3 linked regions of the Drosophila melanogaster genome follow. The protein of the gene in region 1 interacts with the protein of each later gene in a biochemical or structural test. Each region holds a gene or a part of one and is shown on either strand. Other genes may lie near its edges.

Evidence for each region. Proteins that work in one complex are often made in the same cells at the same time.
Region 2: the proteins of bsk (region 1) and Aplip1 form a complex in vitro, tested with the Drosophila melanogaster proteins (one study listed by BioGRID).
Region 3: of the proteins of bsk (region 1) and Jra, one has a biochemical effect on the other in vitro, tested with the Drosophila melanogaster proteins (2 studies listed by BioGRID).

Annotation. Positions count from the first base shown.
Region 1 is NT_033779.5:10,246,351-10,252,838, reverse strand, and holds bsk (basket), read left to right. Parts: upstream 1-2,337; 5' UTR 2,338-2,558; intron 2,559-3,096; exon of another isoform or gene 3,097-3,579; 5' UTR 3,580-3,628; coding exon 3,629-3,744; intron 3,745-3,924; coding exon 3,925-4,054; intron 4,055-4,116; coding exon 4,117-4,314; intron 4,315-4,377; coding exon 4,378-4,642; intron 4,643-4,703; coding exon 4,704-4,987; intron 4,988-5,065; coding exon 5,066-5,191; 3' UTR 5,192-5,337; downstream 5,338-6,488. Other genes in the region: Ror, read right to left, coding at 1-355, 412-564, 775-872; CG31717 (uncharacterized protein), read right to left, coding at 1,338-1,943, 2,012-2,020. UniProt on the Drosophila melanogaster protein: Mitogen-activated protein kinase and key component of the c-Jun N-terminal kinase (JNK) pathway which phosphorylate and activate transcription factors involved in a wide range of biological processes including response to various stresses, cellular proliferation, differentiation and migration, and regulation of cell shape.
Region 2 is NT_037436.4:1,194,058-1,200,550, forward strand, and holds Aplip1 (APPL-interacting protein 1), read left to right. Parts: upstream 1-2,259; 5' UTR 2,260-2,485; coding exon 2,486-2,598; intron 2,599-2,879; coding exon 2,880-3,256; intron 3,257-3,451; coding exon 3,452-4,173; intron 4,174-4,241; coding exon 4,242-4,429; intron 4,430-4,497; coding exon 4,498-4,570; 3' UTR 4,571-5,282; downstream 5,283-6,493. Other genes in the region: LysX (lysozyme X), read right to left, coding at 810-1,238. UniProt on the Drosophila melanogaster protein: The JNK-interacting protein (JIP) group of scaffold proteins selectively mediates JNK signaling by aggregating specific components of the MAPK cascade to form a functional JNK signaling module.
Region 3 is NT_033778.4:10,094,451-10,099,767, forward strand, and holds Jra (Jun-related antigen), read left to right. Parts: upstream 1-2,029; 5' UTR 2,030-2,146; intron 2,147-2,477; exon of another isoform or gene 2,478-2,554; 5' UTR 2,555-2,688; intron 2,689-2,792; 5' UTR 2,793-2,816; coding exon 2,817-3,686; coding exon of another isoform or gene 3,687-3,935; 3' UTR 3,936-4,106; downstream 4,107-5,317. Other genes in the region: CG2269 (uncharacterized protein), read left to right, coding at 1-184, 246-528, 599-793; RpLP0-like (ribosomal protein LP0-like), read right to left, coding at 4,141-4,635, 4,696-4,943, 5,009-5,036.

The DNA of each region.
Region 1 (6,488 bases):
ATGTCGCTTGGCAATGGCATATTCCTTCTGGCACAGCTCGTTCTCCAGAAGTTCGCACTCTTCGCGGCAAATGCGTTTTAGGTTCTCAGACTCTCTGGTTGGTGGGTATTTACTCGATATGTCTGTGCTGAACACATCCTCGTAGATGGTGGACTTCTTCTTGAATATGCTTATGTTCTTAATGTCCTTGGACTTGGTTCTCTTCCGTCGAATGCTGACGTTCTTCAGTTGCTTGGCATTTGTGGCCACGTTGGCGAAGTACAAGAGATTCGTGCGCTCTGGAGTCCGGCAAATTGGCATTGAACTGAAACACAAGCTGGGCAAAGCGTACATGCGGCAATTTGCGTTCATATCCCTGAAAATATGCACTTGGCATTAGCAACGGAATGTTGAAATAGTTATCATACTCACTTGGATTCCTTGATTACTCCATAAGCTGCCTTTAATCGCTCCTCCAAATCGTTCATGGTGAGATTGGGGGATACGAAAACATGGGCATTGCTCAAGACATCGCGACAAATGGTGCCATTGTAAATATGGCAAATACCTGATGATTGCTGGAAACTGCAGGGCAAATAATATATTGCATTTTTAAGGATTAAAAGGATAAGGGCGTCTAAAGATTTCTGCATTCGAGTATACACTATGTTTAGTAATTTAAAAATATATAAAACATGTTAAGCTCATGATTTCATTAATTATTAATTCCACACAAAAGTATTTCGCTAATTATTGTTGCGGAAACTTGGGAAAACTTTCAGTGAAAATACCTACCCATATATTCTTGAGTCCACATTATGGCTCCCCACATCCTTTTTTGTAAATAAAAGCACGAGCGAAATGCAGACTATAAATGCCGAGTATTTGTTCATATTGCTTAATCTAGCTAACAATATGAAGCCTTTTGTTATTTCAATAGTCCAATTGACATGCCAACGATTCCGAAAATATTTTTGTATTTATCCTTTCGCGAAAACTTTATGTGGCATACAACATTTCATCCCCCGACGAAGTCGTTGGGGTTGTTGACTCCTTATCGATGAATCGATATATTTAGGAGTGCTATGACTCGGAACAAAGGAATTACACTATAATTTCTTATAATTAATAATCCAAATATCTTCAAAAGCTTTATTTATTTTATTAAAGATGGTTGTATAACGACTTTAGTCTCATTTAAAGTACACTTTCCCTTTTCACAGTGAAATAAGGGTAGAAAAATTATGCGAAATACACAATAATATGAATTTAACATTAACAATGTATTTGGTTAAAGCATTTATCATAATGATCTAGAGATTATCTATTGCTTTCGGTGTTCCAATCGTAACTTATCGTTACTCCATGCTGTCGACAGTTTCCTCGGTAACAAAGCCCACAATGCTAAATGCAGTTTCCTCGCTGATCCACAGAAGTCCCACGATTAGTGCCTCCAACACTCCGATGGCAGCACCGGCGCAGATATCCAAAATATAATGACGCTGGAGGATGAGCCGTGAGATGGCCACGCTTACAGCCCAAGCTGTGACCGGCATTAGGAATATGATGTGAAGCGGATACAGCTTGGCGAAGAACAGCAGCACAAAGAACGCCCGGGAGGCATGACCTGAGGGAAAGCTGAACTTATCGGGTCCAATGGTCAGCATATCCTTGCTGGCCACCGGTCGCCTGCGACGAACAAGCGCCTTCAGCACGGCCACGATCACTACGTCGAGTATCAGGCCGAAGAGCATATTGACTTGCATTTGATACAAGCTCTTCGAGCTGAGCAACCAGATGAAGGCGATCCATGAGACAAACCAGGCGATTCCATCGCATGATATCTCCAGAAATCTGCTGTGGATCCGCAGGGATTTGAAGAACGACAGATTGGAGACGGCTACTACAAAATGCTTCGACACCTGAACATCCTTCTCCAATAGGTATTTAAGTGCTGGTGATGACTGCAAGGACAAGATTTTAAAATTAGCACTTATCAGCTTATGTGATTCATCAGTGGCCAAAAACCAACCGTCCTCATATCGCTGTGTATTTCAACTCTTTTGTTTTTATTTATTGTTAGTGATGACAGTATTTCTCATTCGTCATTCGATGTATACTCGATAAGTCGAGCAAAGGAATATCTAATGACCGGAACGGTGAAATGAAACACTGCGCCAACTTAGTTTTTGGTCTTTATTAAATAAATTGCATTTGTATATGTTTATTTGTAAGTTATTAACACTTATTAGGTTTTAAACCCCTAATTAAACCTAATTTTAATCAAAAGTCGATTGGCTGACTTTAGCCGTTTCTGGTTTTGGTCCTACTGCAATCTGGTCACATCGATTTAAGTAACTTTGTTGTGATCGAATATTCCAATAGATTTTCGTATATTGTATTGTATCCATGTACAATTATTCTCATGCGAAAGTGCCGCAGATAGTTGATTCTTAAATTTCAATAACATTAACATAGTTTAAAATGCTCGCCACTTTGAGTGCCCAGTGTGTAGAATAAAATAGAAAAAAAATCGATTTTATATTTTCACAAGAAATTCTGTACTTCTTCGTTAAATGGTAAATAAATATTCTATTACGTTCCATTCACATCAAATATCGAATCACCGAAACACTCCTGCAAAACGTGCCATAATCGATTGAAAGCAATTATAGTTGTGCCGGTTATGAAAAAAATTATTGATATTTAACATAAAATGTCAACTGCCCAAAGAGTGTATGTACCTATGTATGCGCAAATGTCTAACGTTTACATATCGACACTACCCGAAGCGTAGACCGCTTTATTATCTGCAGCGCAAACGAGCGCTTTTTCGATGTACGAATACGGGGAATATCTTTTATCTGAGAGATAGTTTGAAAAGTTACTAAATTATCGACCCACATTTGTGTGGCTGTATGTGCATATGTATGTATGTGGCTTACATCTTACACATATGTATACCAGTAGAAGTTTACAGTTTTCATCCGCATACAAATCGTGTGTATGTACATATTTACACAGGCAACGGCATGCATACACATGAACGCTATGTACATCGCTGTGGTCCAACATTCCGTACTTTTATGTTTAAGCCGGACATATCGATTTTAAATCGGTTTTTTTTCCTGTGCGTGCCGCTAAACACTTTGCTCAAAGAACGAAACGCTCGGTTATTTCTGTTGGGTGTTTTTCCAACCATATTCGACATGTGTTCGGCAAACATTTAAATGCTTATCAATAGAAAAGGGGGTTCGGCATTCGAAGTCGGCTCAAATAAGTGACTGCGTTATGCAATTGTATCTTTTTGAAGGAACTCGATATTTTTTGCTCGTGGTTTGGCAACAAACTCGCCACACACTAGCCAGTAAATTTCACCCCTCGCGACAACAGAGACCCACTTAATGGCCATAACATTCTGCCGAAATAAGGCCAGGCAAAGTTAATGTTTTCCTACCCCCTAATTCCAGACGAAGTTGTCTGAAAACTGCCTCCACCCATTCAGAATGGAGCCATACATACGGACGTCTTTGCTCCTTATATAAAACAGAATCACACTGTAAAACCGTATTGATTTATCTTATTTACCCTCTTGAAAAGGCCGATATGCTCCTTGCTCTCAACTAGTAATAAATAAAATCAGTGAACAATGACGACAGCTCAGCACCAACACTACACCGTCGAGGTGGGGGACACCAACTTCACCATCCACAGTCGGTACATTAATCTACGGCCCATAGGATCAGGTGCCCAAGGAATAGTATGGTAAGTGGTTATCAATATGTTATTACATATAATACATTTAACAATTTTTTGGCTTAAACAATTAAGATATTTCGCATGAGTATGAAGTCATATTTGTAACGCTCCATTGTATATTAGATTAGATTAGATGGGATTAGCTGGAATATGAAAAAAAAAAATAACAAATTTAATGCATTTCAGCGCCGCTTACGATACTATCACCCAGCAAAATGTGGCGATTAAGAAACTATCTCGACCATTCCAAAATGTAACCCATGCCAAGCGAGCATATAGGGAATTCAAGCTAATGAAGCTTGTTAACCATAAAAACGTATGAAACTTGCACCTTTAACTTTAACAAATTTCTACTAAACATAGGTATTTAATCCGTAGATAATTGGCTTACTTAATGCTTTTACGCCGCAAAGGAACTTGGAAGAGTTTCAGGATGTCTACCTGGTCATGGAGCTGATGGACGCTAATCTCTGCCAGGTCATCCAAATGGACTTGGATCACGACAGAATGTCCTATTTGCTTTATCAAATGTTGTGCGGAATAAAACATTTACACTCAGCAGGAATTATTCACAGAGTACGTACAGTATGAATACATCTTTAAAATGAGTATGAAATATATGAAATACTTCATTTGCAGGACTTAAAGCCATCCAATATAGTTGTAAAGGCCGACTGCACTCTAAAAATTTTGGATTTCGGTCTGGCACGTACTGCAGGAACTACCTTTATGATGACTCCCTATGTGGTCACCCGATATTACAGGGCTCCAGAGGTCATTTTGGGCATGGGATACACAGAGAACGTGGACATATGGTCCGTCGGTTGCATTATGGGCGAAATGATACGGGGCGGTGTGCTGTTTCCTGGAACGGATCATATAGATCAGTGGAATAAAATTATTGGTATGTTGCTGCTTAAATAACTTGATTCTCGTTATGATTGTCAACTTTTACGTTTTTTCAGAGCAATTAGGTACACCATCACCCTCGTTTATGCAACGGTTACAGCCAACCGTCCGAAACTATGTGGAAAATCGTCCTAGATACACTGGATACTCATTTGATAGACTTTTCCCCGATGGCTTGTTTCCAAATGATAATAATCAGAATAGCCGCCGGAAGGCTTCTGACGCTAGAAATCTTCTTAGTAAAATGCTAGTCATTGATCCAGAGCAGCGGATATCTGTGGACGAGGCTTTGAAGCATGAATATATCAACGTGTGGTATGATGCTGAGGAAGTGGATGCTGTAAGTGATTCTGGCATAAACTGGATTTCTAGGAATGTTGAATGTTTTTAATCGCTTAATTGCATGCATCTCTTGCAGCCCGCTCCGGAGCCATATGATCACAGCGTGGACGAAAGGGAACACACTGTGGAGCAGTGGAAGGAGCTAATCTATGAGGAAGTCATGGACTACGAAGCACACAATACAAATAATAGAACGCGGTAGAGAACGACTTTTTCCTCCTTAGTCAGTCACAAGAAAACTAAAGCTTACCAACAATACGGCGTGTATTGTTAAATTATTACAACAAATAAAATATTCAAATTGTATTTAAAAATATAGTAACCATTAAAAAATAAAATCAATATGCGAAACTTTGTAATTTCTTACTCATCCTTGTTTTTTGAGCCCGCTTTCTTAAGTTAAATCGTTAAAATACCAGTTTAATCATTTCATTGTCCTGATTTCAGGAGCTAATTACATTTTAATCTTTGTATAAATTCATAAAATTTAAATGGAAAAGTTTAACCATATAAATTATTTCGGTATATAAAGTCGATACATACTTTTAAAATTTTGTTTCATACAAGAATATGGAAAGTAGATAATTTAGTTACCGATAAAAACATTTCTAAAATACAAAAAATTTAAAATGATGATTAAATAAAAAACTGTTATACTAAATTTAAACGAAACAAACGGTCATTCGATAACTCAATTAGTATCGAATAAGCCGGCGTGTAAATCGGGCTGGCAACTCTCACCGGTGTAGAGATCGGGATGGCAACTTCGTACTGTTATTCCTATGCTGCGATAACGATAACAGCAAAGTGTCATCGCGAATAAATGTGGGTTTGATAATAAAGAATTGCGTTGGTGAACAATAATAATACAAATGCTAAATGTATCGCGCGGATAACTAGTAAACACTGATTTCGCGCATATCGGGCATACGGGCAGCTAGACGTCTTAGGTAACACATTTCCCAGCCACATTGGCGTTGAGGTATTATTTCCCATATCCATGTGCGTTTGTAAATGATACCACCAGAGTGTGCCATATGTATCGTTGTTTGTACATACATGCCTACGGGGAAAAATAACTCGCAGATACATATGTATGTAAGATGTATTAGAATTCCACAGATATATGTACATATAAATATATATATATATTTATGATGCTCATCTATAAAACAAAATATGTACAAACATACGCGCGCACGTACTTATGTATGTACATATGTACGTACATATATGTATAATAAAATGAGCATCTAGCTGCGGTTATCTTAATGCAATGCGCAGAAACCTGAAAACGAAATAAACAATCTTTACAGCGCCAGCACAGTGAGCCAATTATGAATTCACAATTCCACATCCAATTCCGATTCCGAATTCCATCGCTTTACATCCTAATTCGAATACGTCGCGCCGCGTAAGCTGCACTCGAATATTGACATAAACGACGTAATTGCGTGTTTTGATTGCGATTTCCGATGCTCGATGTTGACAGACGGCAA
Region 2 (6,493 bases), on another chromosome or scaffold:
TGGGAAAAGCGTTGGGTGGGCCGGGTGGTCAGGCTGGGAGCCAGAGTCACTGCCACTTGACTATTAAAATATGCGAAAGGCCCACTAAACACATGCGTGGGCAGCGCTTCACCCCAACTCATCAGCTGAGGCGATTAACTTAATGGTGCTGGCTAACTGATTGACCGACAAACGACTGGCTCCCAGGAGCCATCCACTTTCTATTTGCCCACGAGCTAAAGGATTTATGGTTGCCCCAAGGGATGCAGGATGTCCCCCACTCCGCCGATGTGAAGGCAGCCAGACGGAGATGAAGCCCGGAACGGAGTCGAGGTCACGATGAATGGCAGCTCTTGATTTCGGAATAATTAACTTAGACATCTAATTTGAATGGGGGTCTAAACTGTGACTCGGTTTTAATTCGGGAATTGGAAAGGGTAATTTGATCAACACTTAAGAAACAACATTTACATGTGTCTGCTTTAAGAACGTACTTTTTAAGATTTTAGAGTGTTTCTGAACTATTTGTTTTTTTTTATATATTTATAGTATATAGTATAGTATATATAGTATACAGTACATAGTAATTACCTTTCTATATATTATGAATTCGTTGAAAAATTGCAATGACTAATTTTGTTCGCTGTCGCTTATCTTTGATTTATTTGTCCGCACATTTCTTTGTTTAATTACAAATGTCGTACCAGATATTTACTTTTATTTATGTATATATCGTGAATCAACGTATCAAAAAGTATAAACGTATAAAAAGTGTTTATTAGATTGCAAAACAATTACATTTTGAAATGTCCATGGTTAAGAGACTTGAATTAAACAAAGCAATCATCGATCGGGGGCAGGTATCCACTGCAGTAGTGCCAGGTGGACCAGGCTGACCAGCCCTGTTGACCCAGGACCTTTAGGGCACATCTTACGGAACTTTTGATGTCATCGGTCAAGAGAGCGTTGCAACTCACATCGCAGCCATTGTGGGAGAACTTTCCACTGGACGGCTGGCACCAGTACATGTCGTTGATCTGGAAAATGCCATAGTCGTTGGATCCATCGGTGTTGGGAGGCCCCACCACTCCGGTGCGGTAGGAGCTCTCGTGCTCTGCAATGCACGCCCACTTGGACAACTGGTCACGAGAAACACCCATATTGGCCATCTCGCGCGCCAGTGAGCAGCGATCCATGGTGCGACCCAGGACAGCTGGAGTGACTAGTGCCAGGACACAGATTCCTAGGAGGGCTCTCATGGCGAATTGGTTGGATGTCGATGAAGTACTGCGTGGCTAAAGACTGTTCATTCTTTTATACCCGGGGAAATAAAAAAAATCTGATTAAAGATAAGAACTATATTCTATACAAAGAAGAAACCAGCGGTTCTTATTATTGAGGGTATTCAACTAAATCTGGGCTTTCTGGGCACACCTCACAGACTGGATGATGTCGTCTTTGAGCATGTCGTTGCAGCTCGTGTGGCAACCGTTGTGTGAGAACTTTGAACATTGGACCGGATCACCTGAGTTAGTGGTAAGAAAATTTCTTAGGAAAATTATAGGTACCTTTAGATTGTCTGATTTGACTAGGCAACAGAAAAATGCATATCTTGTAGGTAAGTTATGGCAGACTGACGATTTCCATTTCCCCATTTACATTTATCAGTTGGGGTGGCGATTACATCTCCTATCGTATCTTATAATATAAAATAATATAATATAATATAATATATTATAATATAATATATTATAATATAATATATTATAATATAATATAATATAATTGCTGTTTTAGATAGATAATGACCAACCTTATTCATAATTTTATAATTTTCTAAATTAATTGATAGATAGTTTTTGTACTTTTAAAATTAATTAAATAATTTTCGAAATTGCATTTTGTGAAATGAAGACTGATTCGTTCGTACACATTTACTATAAAAATATATGCCCGATAAGAAATCCCCAGCCGGGGGAAATCCCCATTTTCTAGATCCGCCCCTGGCTGTTCGTGCCAAAGCGCAACAGCATTGCAATTCGCAAGTCACCACCATTGGAAACGGGGAGCGGAAGTGACTCACTGCGCAGGCGCGCTTCCTGTCAACCCCCAGGACAGAGTGAATGCCGCTGACCCCCCAACCTTTGCCCTGCCAGCGGTAAACAAAAACAAGTTTGGCTTACCAGCGAGAGAGAGAGAGAGAAATAAAGAGAGAGCTTGCGGATGACAGCTGAAAGTCCCGAATTTCCCTGGCTTGGGCCTCCACTATTTCTGATTTGGCACCACTCACATCTGGAATTCAGACGGGGGCACGCCAGCAACGTCAAGGAAATTATCGATTTTCGCATGTGAAGTGAAAAAAGTGACTCCGTTGGCAAAAAACTGTAGCGCGAGCAGGACTCCAGTGAAAATCTAACCAAAAGCAGTTCACACGGACTAACTAAAAGCCCCAGCTAGCCTGTAGTGGAGGGCGTGGCAGCTGGTCGGACCCTGGTCCCCAAACGACATGGCCGACAGCGAATTCGAGGAGTTCCACAGGCCCATATTTGAGCCACATACGATTGCTGGATTCGGATCAGGAGCAGGCAGCAAGAAGAATAATCCACATGCATTTTACTCGTAAGTTGAAAGGTGAAAGGCTGTGGTAAGAAGCAATCTGGCGAAGCTTGCTGTAGCCAAGACGTGTGCACGTGTCCTGAAGAGCACCCCTTGAAACTGGTTGGGTATCCTTGAAGGGAACTGTTCGCAACAGAAATCACAAAAGTCACTGATGGAACTGTTTAAAAGTATGCAACGAATTGTGTGCATGCCTTTGGACATTCTTATGAATTATTCCAAACTCGCTGTGATTTCTGTGCGATGGCATGAGTTCAGTTTCATCAGTAAAGCCCTTTTCACAGCTTAATTCCCAACGATGACCTGGAGGACTCGCACTCCTCGAAGAGCGATGGCGACGGTTCGGATCAGGAGGATGGCATTGGTCTTGTGGATCACGAGCCCAAGATGCGTCAAGTGGAGGACGATGAGCTGGGCGACGGGCTGAAAGTCACTCTGTCCTCGGACGGCTCGCTGGACACCAACGACTCGTTTAATTCGCACCGACATCATCCGTTGAACCACCAGGATGCGATTGGTGGCTTCCTGGGCATGGACACCAGTGGATTGGGTGGCAATAGTGCACCTGTGACCATTGGAGCCAGCACAGATCTGCTGGCACCCAATACAGCTGCCACGCGACGTCGTCGCAAGTTGCCGGAAATACCGAAAAACAAGAAATGTAAGTTTATTGAAAACTTAGTTCCTGGCTAGAGTATCCTGCATGCAAGTAGTTTCAGGGGCTATGCCGGTTTTCAAAACTAGTATTTGGTTTTCCACAACACATCTATTCGTCATATCCTATTTTGGGAGCCGGATAGTCCTTCTTAACATCCCTTCGTAGTTTCGGGCTAACCCACTCATGGCCTCGTTGCAGCTTCCATTCTGCATCTTCTAGGTGGCTCCAACTTTGGCTCCCTGGCGGATGAGTTCCGCAACGGTGGTGGTGGAGGAATCCCTCCAGCAGTTCGCAGTGGACAACAGCGCTCATTTCTGTCCCTCAAATGCGGCTACTTGATGGACGAGGACTCCAGTCCGGATTCGGAAAGGATGCAGAGTCTGGGCGACGTGGACAGTGGTCACAGCACGGCGCATTCGCCCAACGACTTTAAGAGCATGTCGCCGCAGATCACGTCTCCCGTTTCGCAGTCCCCCTTTCCGCCTCCCTTTGGGGGCGTGCCCTTTGGCCAGCTGGAGATGCTGGAGGCCACTCACCGTGGTCTGCACAAGTTTGTGCCGCGGCACCACGACGAGATCGAGCTGGAGATCGGCGACGCCATCTACGTGCAAAAGGAGGCCGAGGACCTGTGGTGCGAGGGTGTGAATCTCCGCACCGGAAGGCAGGGCATCTTCCCCTCGGCCTACGCCGTGGACCTGGACTACAACGAGTTCGATCCCACAGTGCAGCTGGTGAAGAAGGAGCGCTATCTGCTGGGCTACCTCGGATCCGTGGAGACGCTGGCGCACAAGGGCACCGGAGTCGTTTGCCAGGCGGTGCGCAAGATTGTCGGGGAGTACGGCAACTCACCGACCGGACAGACGTGCATCCTGGAGGTTTCCGACCAGGGACTTCGCATGGTGGATCGATCGGGCCCGAATGTGAGTAGGATACATACATATATACATCTTCATTAATAACCGATATAAAAACCGATTTCGTGAAACAGCAAAACAAAAAGGACAAGAAACCTTGCATCGACTACTTCTACTCCCTGAAGAACGTCTCCTTCTGCGCATTTCACCCTCGCGATCACCGCTTCATTGGCTTCATCACCAAACATCCCACGGTTCAGCGGTTCGCCTGCCACGTCTTCAAGGGCTCGGAGTCGACCAGACCGGTGGCCGAGGCAGTGGGGTGAGTCCTCAAGCAGTCATCCCCCCAAAACAAACGCTCGAATAACATGTTAACACTCCTTCTTTCAGCCGTGCTTTCCAGCGATTCTATCAGAAATTCATTGAAACCGCTTATCCCATCGAGGACATCTACATTGAGTAGGCTTGCAAGGCGGTTTGTGCATTAATCAATACGATATATTTTTTGTGCGGTTATTACGAATAAAAGCAAAGATAAGTCTCAAGAATATTTGCTCTTCTTCAAAGAGAATCTCAAAGCAAAATCAATAAGCTCGCAATAGAAACCCTAGCTATAGATTATTATCATTTATCCGTTTTGAACAAATGTGCAAGATCTTAGACATGTAAATAGTTAGTTAACTTTCGTTCAAAATCCCCACTTCACACTCACACTCACACTGAGCTTCAAGCAATCAGCAATAGTTGCCCCCTCTATAGGAACCGCCTTTAAACTCGAGTTCACTGGATATATGGACAGAAGCAAAAGAACACCTTGAACACCTTGAATTTTGTATCGGGAGTCAGTTGGGTCAGTTGGGTCTATTGTAAATCGGAGATAAGCAATTTGGATTGGTTATAGATATCCAGACCCTCCTGTAACCACATCCTTAACCTGGCAATGCACAAAATAGAGTGAGGCCAAAGTAATTTAGCGATCTTCGTGTAACCTTAGTTTAGTTATGCCAATCTTTCAGTTACCAGAGACTCAACAATATCGAACACCAGCTGCTACGTTTTGAAGTATTCTCAATTAAAGCCCAGTATAAGATGTGTAAACCTTTAAAGTTGTGTACACGCAGGCGAATATATACTGTATATGTATACAAAAGAAATATATAAAGAACCTATAAATCAAACTATATTGGATTATTGGGTGCTCAAGGAAGAAAGGTGAGTTTTATTAGTAAGAGAATGTAAGCCCTTTCATCTTATATTGTAGAACTTACCCAAAAGTATGCACTTAAGCTCAATTTATAGCAAGTTGATAGAATCCCGAAATGATGGTAGATAATATTTAGCAGCCTAAAAGATAACTTATAATTTGTAAAGTAAATTATTTTACACATAAAACATGTGAGTTTATCTCTCGCGGGAAATGAATTGGTGATTTGCATAAAATTACACGACAAGACAAGATAATACTAATCGGCTATATGAAGGCAATGGCCAATTGCAGTTTAGTTTTAAGATTAACTTGTGATGACTTGTTTTGAGCGGGCCATGGAATGGAATGATGGCCCAGAAGTTCCCATTCGGATTCCACATTAGTTTTATTTCACCGCACATTTACCAATGCGGATCTACGCCGGAAAAAGAAACAATCGCACATTAATGAAAACGCCCAGGGAGTGGAGAATAAATGGCCGAGCCATTAAAATGGCGATACATCAGTTAGCCTGGGGGCATCAATCATTATGCAATTTTCGCGAAGCCGGCCAGCAGCTTTGGGCCACTTTCTTCGGAGGTGGTTCAGTGAACGGGTTGTGGCGGTGGGCCTGGTCGGATCTGCCTTTGGGCAAAGTGCTCTAACAGGAGCAGCGACTAAGACTAACTAGTTCGTGTCGCTTTTAATGGAAATGGATACCCGAAGTAGCCTTGGCAGCGACTTTGGCTGGGTTTCGGTGTGGGAACTGGTTTCGGGGTTGGGAAAATCGCGCGGCACTCGCTTGATGCACTTGTCGACGTGCCCGGCCTCTTAACTCTATCGCAAATGTGGCCAATTAGAGATTAAACGACAATTTCAATTTAAAAACGCTTGTAAAACAGACCAGCCGAAAAGCCAACCTGATTTTCCTGAGCTGCCAGTGGCGGCAATGGACTTGTCAAACCGATTCGATATCTAGAGGGGATTGCCGATGCGTTTTAGCAGTCTCTAAATCAGTCAGTAATAAAAAAAATTGAGCTTCTGATTATTCTAGTACATTTTTAAATTCTCTATATCGTAAATTATAAAAGTACTATGCTATGTTCCTACTATCTATCGAATACGCATGCTATTATTCATATATATATTTTTTTTAATACTTATTTAATTAGGACACTCCCTTTATTAATTTACCTTGTG
Region 3 (5,317 bases), on another chromosome or scaffold:
TGGCAACCGCTTACAGTCTGGAGAAAATGCGCAGGGCTCTGGATAAGTTAAGGAGATCAGTGGACAACGAGAGTCACCTGATGCGCAATACCATCGAACCGGAATCCGAGGAGAACGCGTTGGACTCCAATTACTGGTTGAACAAAAAGTCGGTGAAGAAGGAGCAGGCAGATCAACTGGCAGAGTAAATGAAAATGCCCTTAAATTTACATTATTTCGATGTGTTTATTTCTCAAATCCTCCAGAGACTCGAGACCACCCAAGGACATGGAAAAGAGGAAGCGCAGTGGTTACTTGCGCTATCCGGAGCAGCCAAATACCATGGAGGAGGCACTCAGCCTGGGCAGCGCTCCCTACGAGACCCTAAACGACGCCTATCTGGGCAACAAGAACTACATTGTGGGCTCCAACCAGTGCCCCATTATCGAGTCCATGGCGGAGCGCTGTCGGGGCGTCGATCTCATCTCCGGAGACATTAACCAGGAGCTCCTGCCCCTCTGCGGTGTTCACCAGATATGCTATCTATGTGTAAGTGAAAACAGGATGCCTGAGTCGAGTATGGTTAACTATAGTTTACCCATTGCATTTCCGTTTCCAGGGTGCCTCACAGGTAGCCTGCGACTATCAGTACTTGGCGGAGGCGGATAGCGTTTGCGGCGACAGCAACGACTGCCAGTCGGCGGCCCGTTCCATCCTGATGATCCTGCGGGGATCACACGGCCGGCAGCTGGGTCCTAGGGAGTGCTTGAAGAATCCCTGCTTGTACAGGGCCATGCGGGAGATTGGGCTTTAAGCGAACTGCTCCGAATTGCCGCCCAGTGTTTTCCTAACGTCTCTTTTGTGTGCGTTTAAAAAGAAAATCATAAATCGAAAATGAAAATGACAACCCCGCAATGCAAAGCAGAGAGAGAGAGAGAGAGAAGATAACAATATGAGCCCAAAAAACCAATATAAAAACCTTGCTGAACTGGCAAAAATCAAACAAACGATTGATTCAAAACCAAATAGTCGTCGCATACAATGACATAATATTTTGATGGATTTTCCTGACCGCCTCGCGAGGCGGCAGCAGCCAACTAGAGTTTACCAGATACCTAAAGAGATGCATATAGATATACATACAATTTGGATTCAGTTAATCGCAGTAGACGCCCGATGCGGCCCGATTTATTTGGTTTAAGTGTTCAGCGTAAAATGGAATTTTTCGAAACATATTTGCACGTTTTATGGGTGTTTAAGTGTACAAACGTGATCATAGACGAAACATAACACACATACATATGCTTAACCAAGACATACAAGTATTTAATCCACAGCCAGCTTTTTAAGTAACTCAACTCGCTTGACATTCTAAGCAAAATGAAAGGCAGAGCTCACATTGGCAGCTAGTCCTCCAAAGTCACCGTCAGAATTCTTCTATTCGGTTTGACTTGGATGTGTGCACATACATACGTGCGTGTGCCATACCATAATACACTATACACATTATACATATATAACGATTTTAGCCTACACCGGGAAAAAAACTATGTATCTTTGCGAACGCCAAATGCAGAGCAACTAACTATAGTATCTGAGACTTCTCTCTCCGCATTACTTGTCTACAGATGAACATATACATTAATGTGTTTCAACGTGCTTACAATAAATGGACATAACTAAGACAAATATTTGAAGCTCTAACAAATCTATAGATGTGATTATTAATATATACAAGGAGTTTAATAAATGTGTAAATCTTTTAGGGCCAGCATATATACCAATCTGAACAACAGCAAGACGTTTGGTTGCGAAATCAAAATATTATTAATGTATTTACATAAACGAACAAATATATATATTTAAACTTGATGTATATGCTACAGTTTGAAAAACAAAACAAAACAGAACAAAAACCCATATTTGAAAATATTTATTGCTATACAGTTATCATAAATGTCGAATATAAATATATCGGGAATATCCCAAAAACGTATGGCCTTTTTTCTCGGATGTTTTCAAATTATTTGCGAATGTTCCGAGTTAAGTGTCATATTTTGTTTCCCCTTTTCAATTGTAACTCGCAAAATCACAAAATCATGAGCATCAGTGTTTTCCTGGAGTTCCTGACATAATGGATCCGTCTGGACAGTTTGTGGTTCCCCAAGTGCGAAAACAATATCTTAACCAGACCGAAAAATATATTTCCTTTCCTATTTACCGACGCCCAGGAGTGATAAAGAGATCTATTGCATCTTCTTTTACTGCCAAACATCAAGAAAATTTCAAGAAAAACATGAAAGACTAGCGACGGCCTTGTTTCCATTCACCTTTCATAATGATTTAGTAAATGTTAAAAAAAACCTATATTGTATTTTATTAACTTAGCTACCGGTAATGGTTTGTGTCACTGCTAAGCTTCTTGCTTGAGTCAATGCTGCCCATTGTTTAAACATCGCATTTAAAGACCAGTATCGATAGCAATATCGAATAAATAATCGACACTTGTACCACCGCTAGCACTCATTCTGAAAACAACCTTGCGCGTAATAAATATTTTCGTAAAATTATTTAGCGAAACCAAAATAAAAATCAAACGATTCGTTGGCCGATAAAACCGGTGATTAAGCAGTGGCAGTGCAGAAAGCAGAAAACACAAAAGTACAGATTGTGCTAATCAAATTTTGCAAGCAAAGTTCCCACCCACTGGTGAGTAAGAAGAAGAGCGAGTTATTCGCATGACTCATCGCGAAACGAGTTTTTATCAGATTGTTTTCATTCCGTTTTCGTCTCTTTCACTTCATCCGAATCAGATTGACGTCATTGCTTGAGCAAACATGAAAACCCCCGTTTCCGCTGCTGCGAACTTAAGTATTCAGAATGCTGGCAGTTCCGGAGCAACTGCCATTCAGATCATACCTAAAACCGAGCCCGTTGGAGAAGAAGGCCCCATGTCACTGGACTTTCAGTCGCCGAACCTGAACACATCCACCCCGAATCCTAACAAGCGTCCCGGCTCGCTGGATCTGAACAGCAAGAGTGCCAAGAACAAGCGCATCTTCGCACCACTGGTCATCAACTCACCGGATCTGTCATCCAAGACGGTAAACACACCCGATTTGGAGAAGATCCTGCTATCCAACAATCTGATGCAAACACCGCAGCCGGGAAAGGTGTTCCCCACCAAGGCGGGGCCCGTCACCGTGGAGCAGTTGGACTTCGGCAGGGGATTCGAGGAGGCCTTACACAATCTTCACACTAACTCCCAGGCATTTCCGTCCGCCAATTCCGCCGCTAATTCCGCCGCCAATAACACAACTGCGGCAGCCATGACAGCGGTGAACAATGGCATCAGCGGAGGCACCTTCACCTACACCAACATGACCGAGGGCTTCTCGGTGATTAAGGACGAGCCCGTCAATCAAGCCAGCTCGCCCACCGTTAATCCCATTGACATGGAAGCGCAGGAGAAGATCAAGCTGGAGCGCAAGAGGCAGCGTAACCGTGTGGCTGCATCCAAGTGCCGCAAGCGCAAGTTGGAGCGCATCTCAAAGCTGGAGGATCGCGTGAAGGTACTTAAGGGCGAGAACGTCGACCTGGCTAGCATCGTGAAGAACCTCAAGGACCATGTGGCGCAGCTGAAGCAGCAGGTGATGGAGCACATTGCCGCGGGCTGCACGGTGCCGCCGAACTCGACAGACCAATAACATTTGGAGTTGTCAGCCGGGGAGAATGATGAGGAGGACGTGGCACTGGAGACTGAAACCCCCTCGAATCCTGAAGATCCCGAGCAACCCATGCCTCTGGAATTCTTTTCAAGTGCTAGCACCGGTGCCTTGGAGCTGGAGGGCTCGGCCTCTCAGGATATTTCCCTAACTAACAGCGAACTCCTGGAGGAGGAGAGCGATAACGAACAGCCTCTGGTGCTCTACATCCTCGCGGACGACGCAACCTGAGGCTTTGTGCCTTTCTTTGGTTTTAGCTGCAATATCTGAAATGCTTCTTAAGTGTTTTGTTTACTTAGTTATTAGTATAAGCTAGTGTTAATCAAGTATTATCTGTGTTGAACGTAAGATAATATGTAATGTACTTTTAAAATATACGTATATTTTCTGCACTTGATATATACATAAAAAAATTATTTCTACGCCTTAAACTTATTTATTCATCATCCTCCTCTTCGTCATCATCGTCGTCGTTGTCATCCATGGCCTCGGCCTCGGCCTCCTCTTCCATTGCGCTATCAGCCTGTTCCTCGTCGTTCACATCATCCTCGACATGCAGCTGGAAGCCTTCGCTTTTTGTCCACGAGCACTTCATGGTCAGCCGAAATTTGGCCATGGGCTTGCCCACCAGCTTGAGGATTCTCGCCTGTTCGGGTGTTAGAACTTTGCCCTCCTCACAAACCGTGTAGTCACTGTACAGCGTAACGATTCCCTTCTCCAATTTGGTGGGCAGGCCCAGGGAACGCAGATGCGGTTCCATAGAGTGGGCGAAGTCCTCTAGGGGACCTGCTGGCAGGGTAACCGTTTCCGTGGCCACAAAGCCACTGCGTGCGTATTCCACGGCCCAGTAGTTTTCTGCCCACTCCAGGACTTCCTCCTTGGATTTGTCCGTGAAAAGCAGTCCCACCTGGCCAGTTAATCGCTTGGATAGCTAATAGACATAGCCTGTGATTAGTGTCTGATATATGTTAATCCACTTAAACTTAATTACCTTGTGCAATTCCGGCTCCACTTCCTCGCTCTTCGTGCGACCCAAGCCAATCTGCATAACACGATTCTTGCCAAAGATAAAACGAGAATTCTTTTTCAACTCCTGTCGCAGATCCTTCAGCAAGCTATTCCTCATGTTCTGAACTTGGAAAACGAATATATTTGGGTATTTGCCCACGCAGAACCGAATGTCGTCCACAATGCGCTGTTTCCAAGCCAGACCCTTGCGGTCGGTTTTGGTCAGGGAAACTAAGGGAAGAAGAGTATCGCACGTTATAAGTACAAATCGTATATATTAAAGCCGAAACTCTCACCTTTCTTATCACGTTTGGAGCGCGGCATATCTGTAGCCTTTAAATAGCAACGTTTTCTTAACAGAAACCAAGAATATTTCCCACCGAACGTAAACACGTGCGGCCTTCTAGAGATGGTAAATGTTCCTAACCAACAATCGATAGCTCTATCGTGTATCGGAATTTCGCACCGTGCGGGTTGGAAAATTCCTGCGGGCCAATCCCTACTTCAGCTTTCCTCGTTTTCCAACACATCTGCGCGTAGAGAAGAAGAAGAACCTTCACGTCCGAGCCGTAAGAGGTGAATTAACTAATTAATAAGTGCTTGCT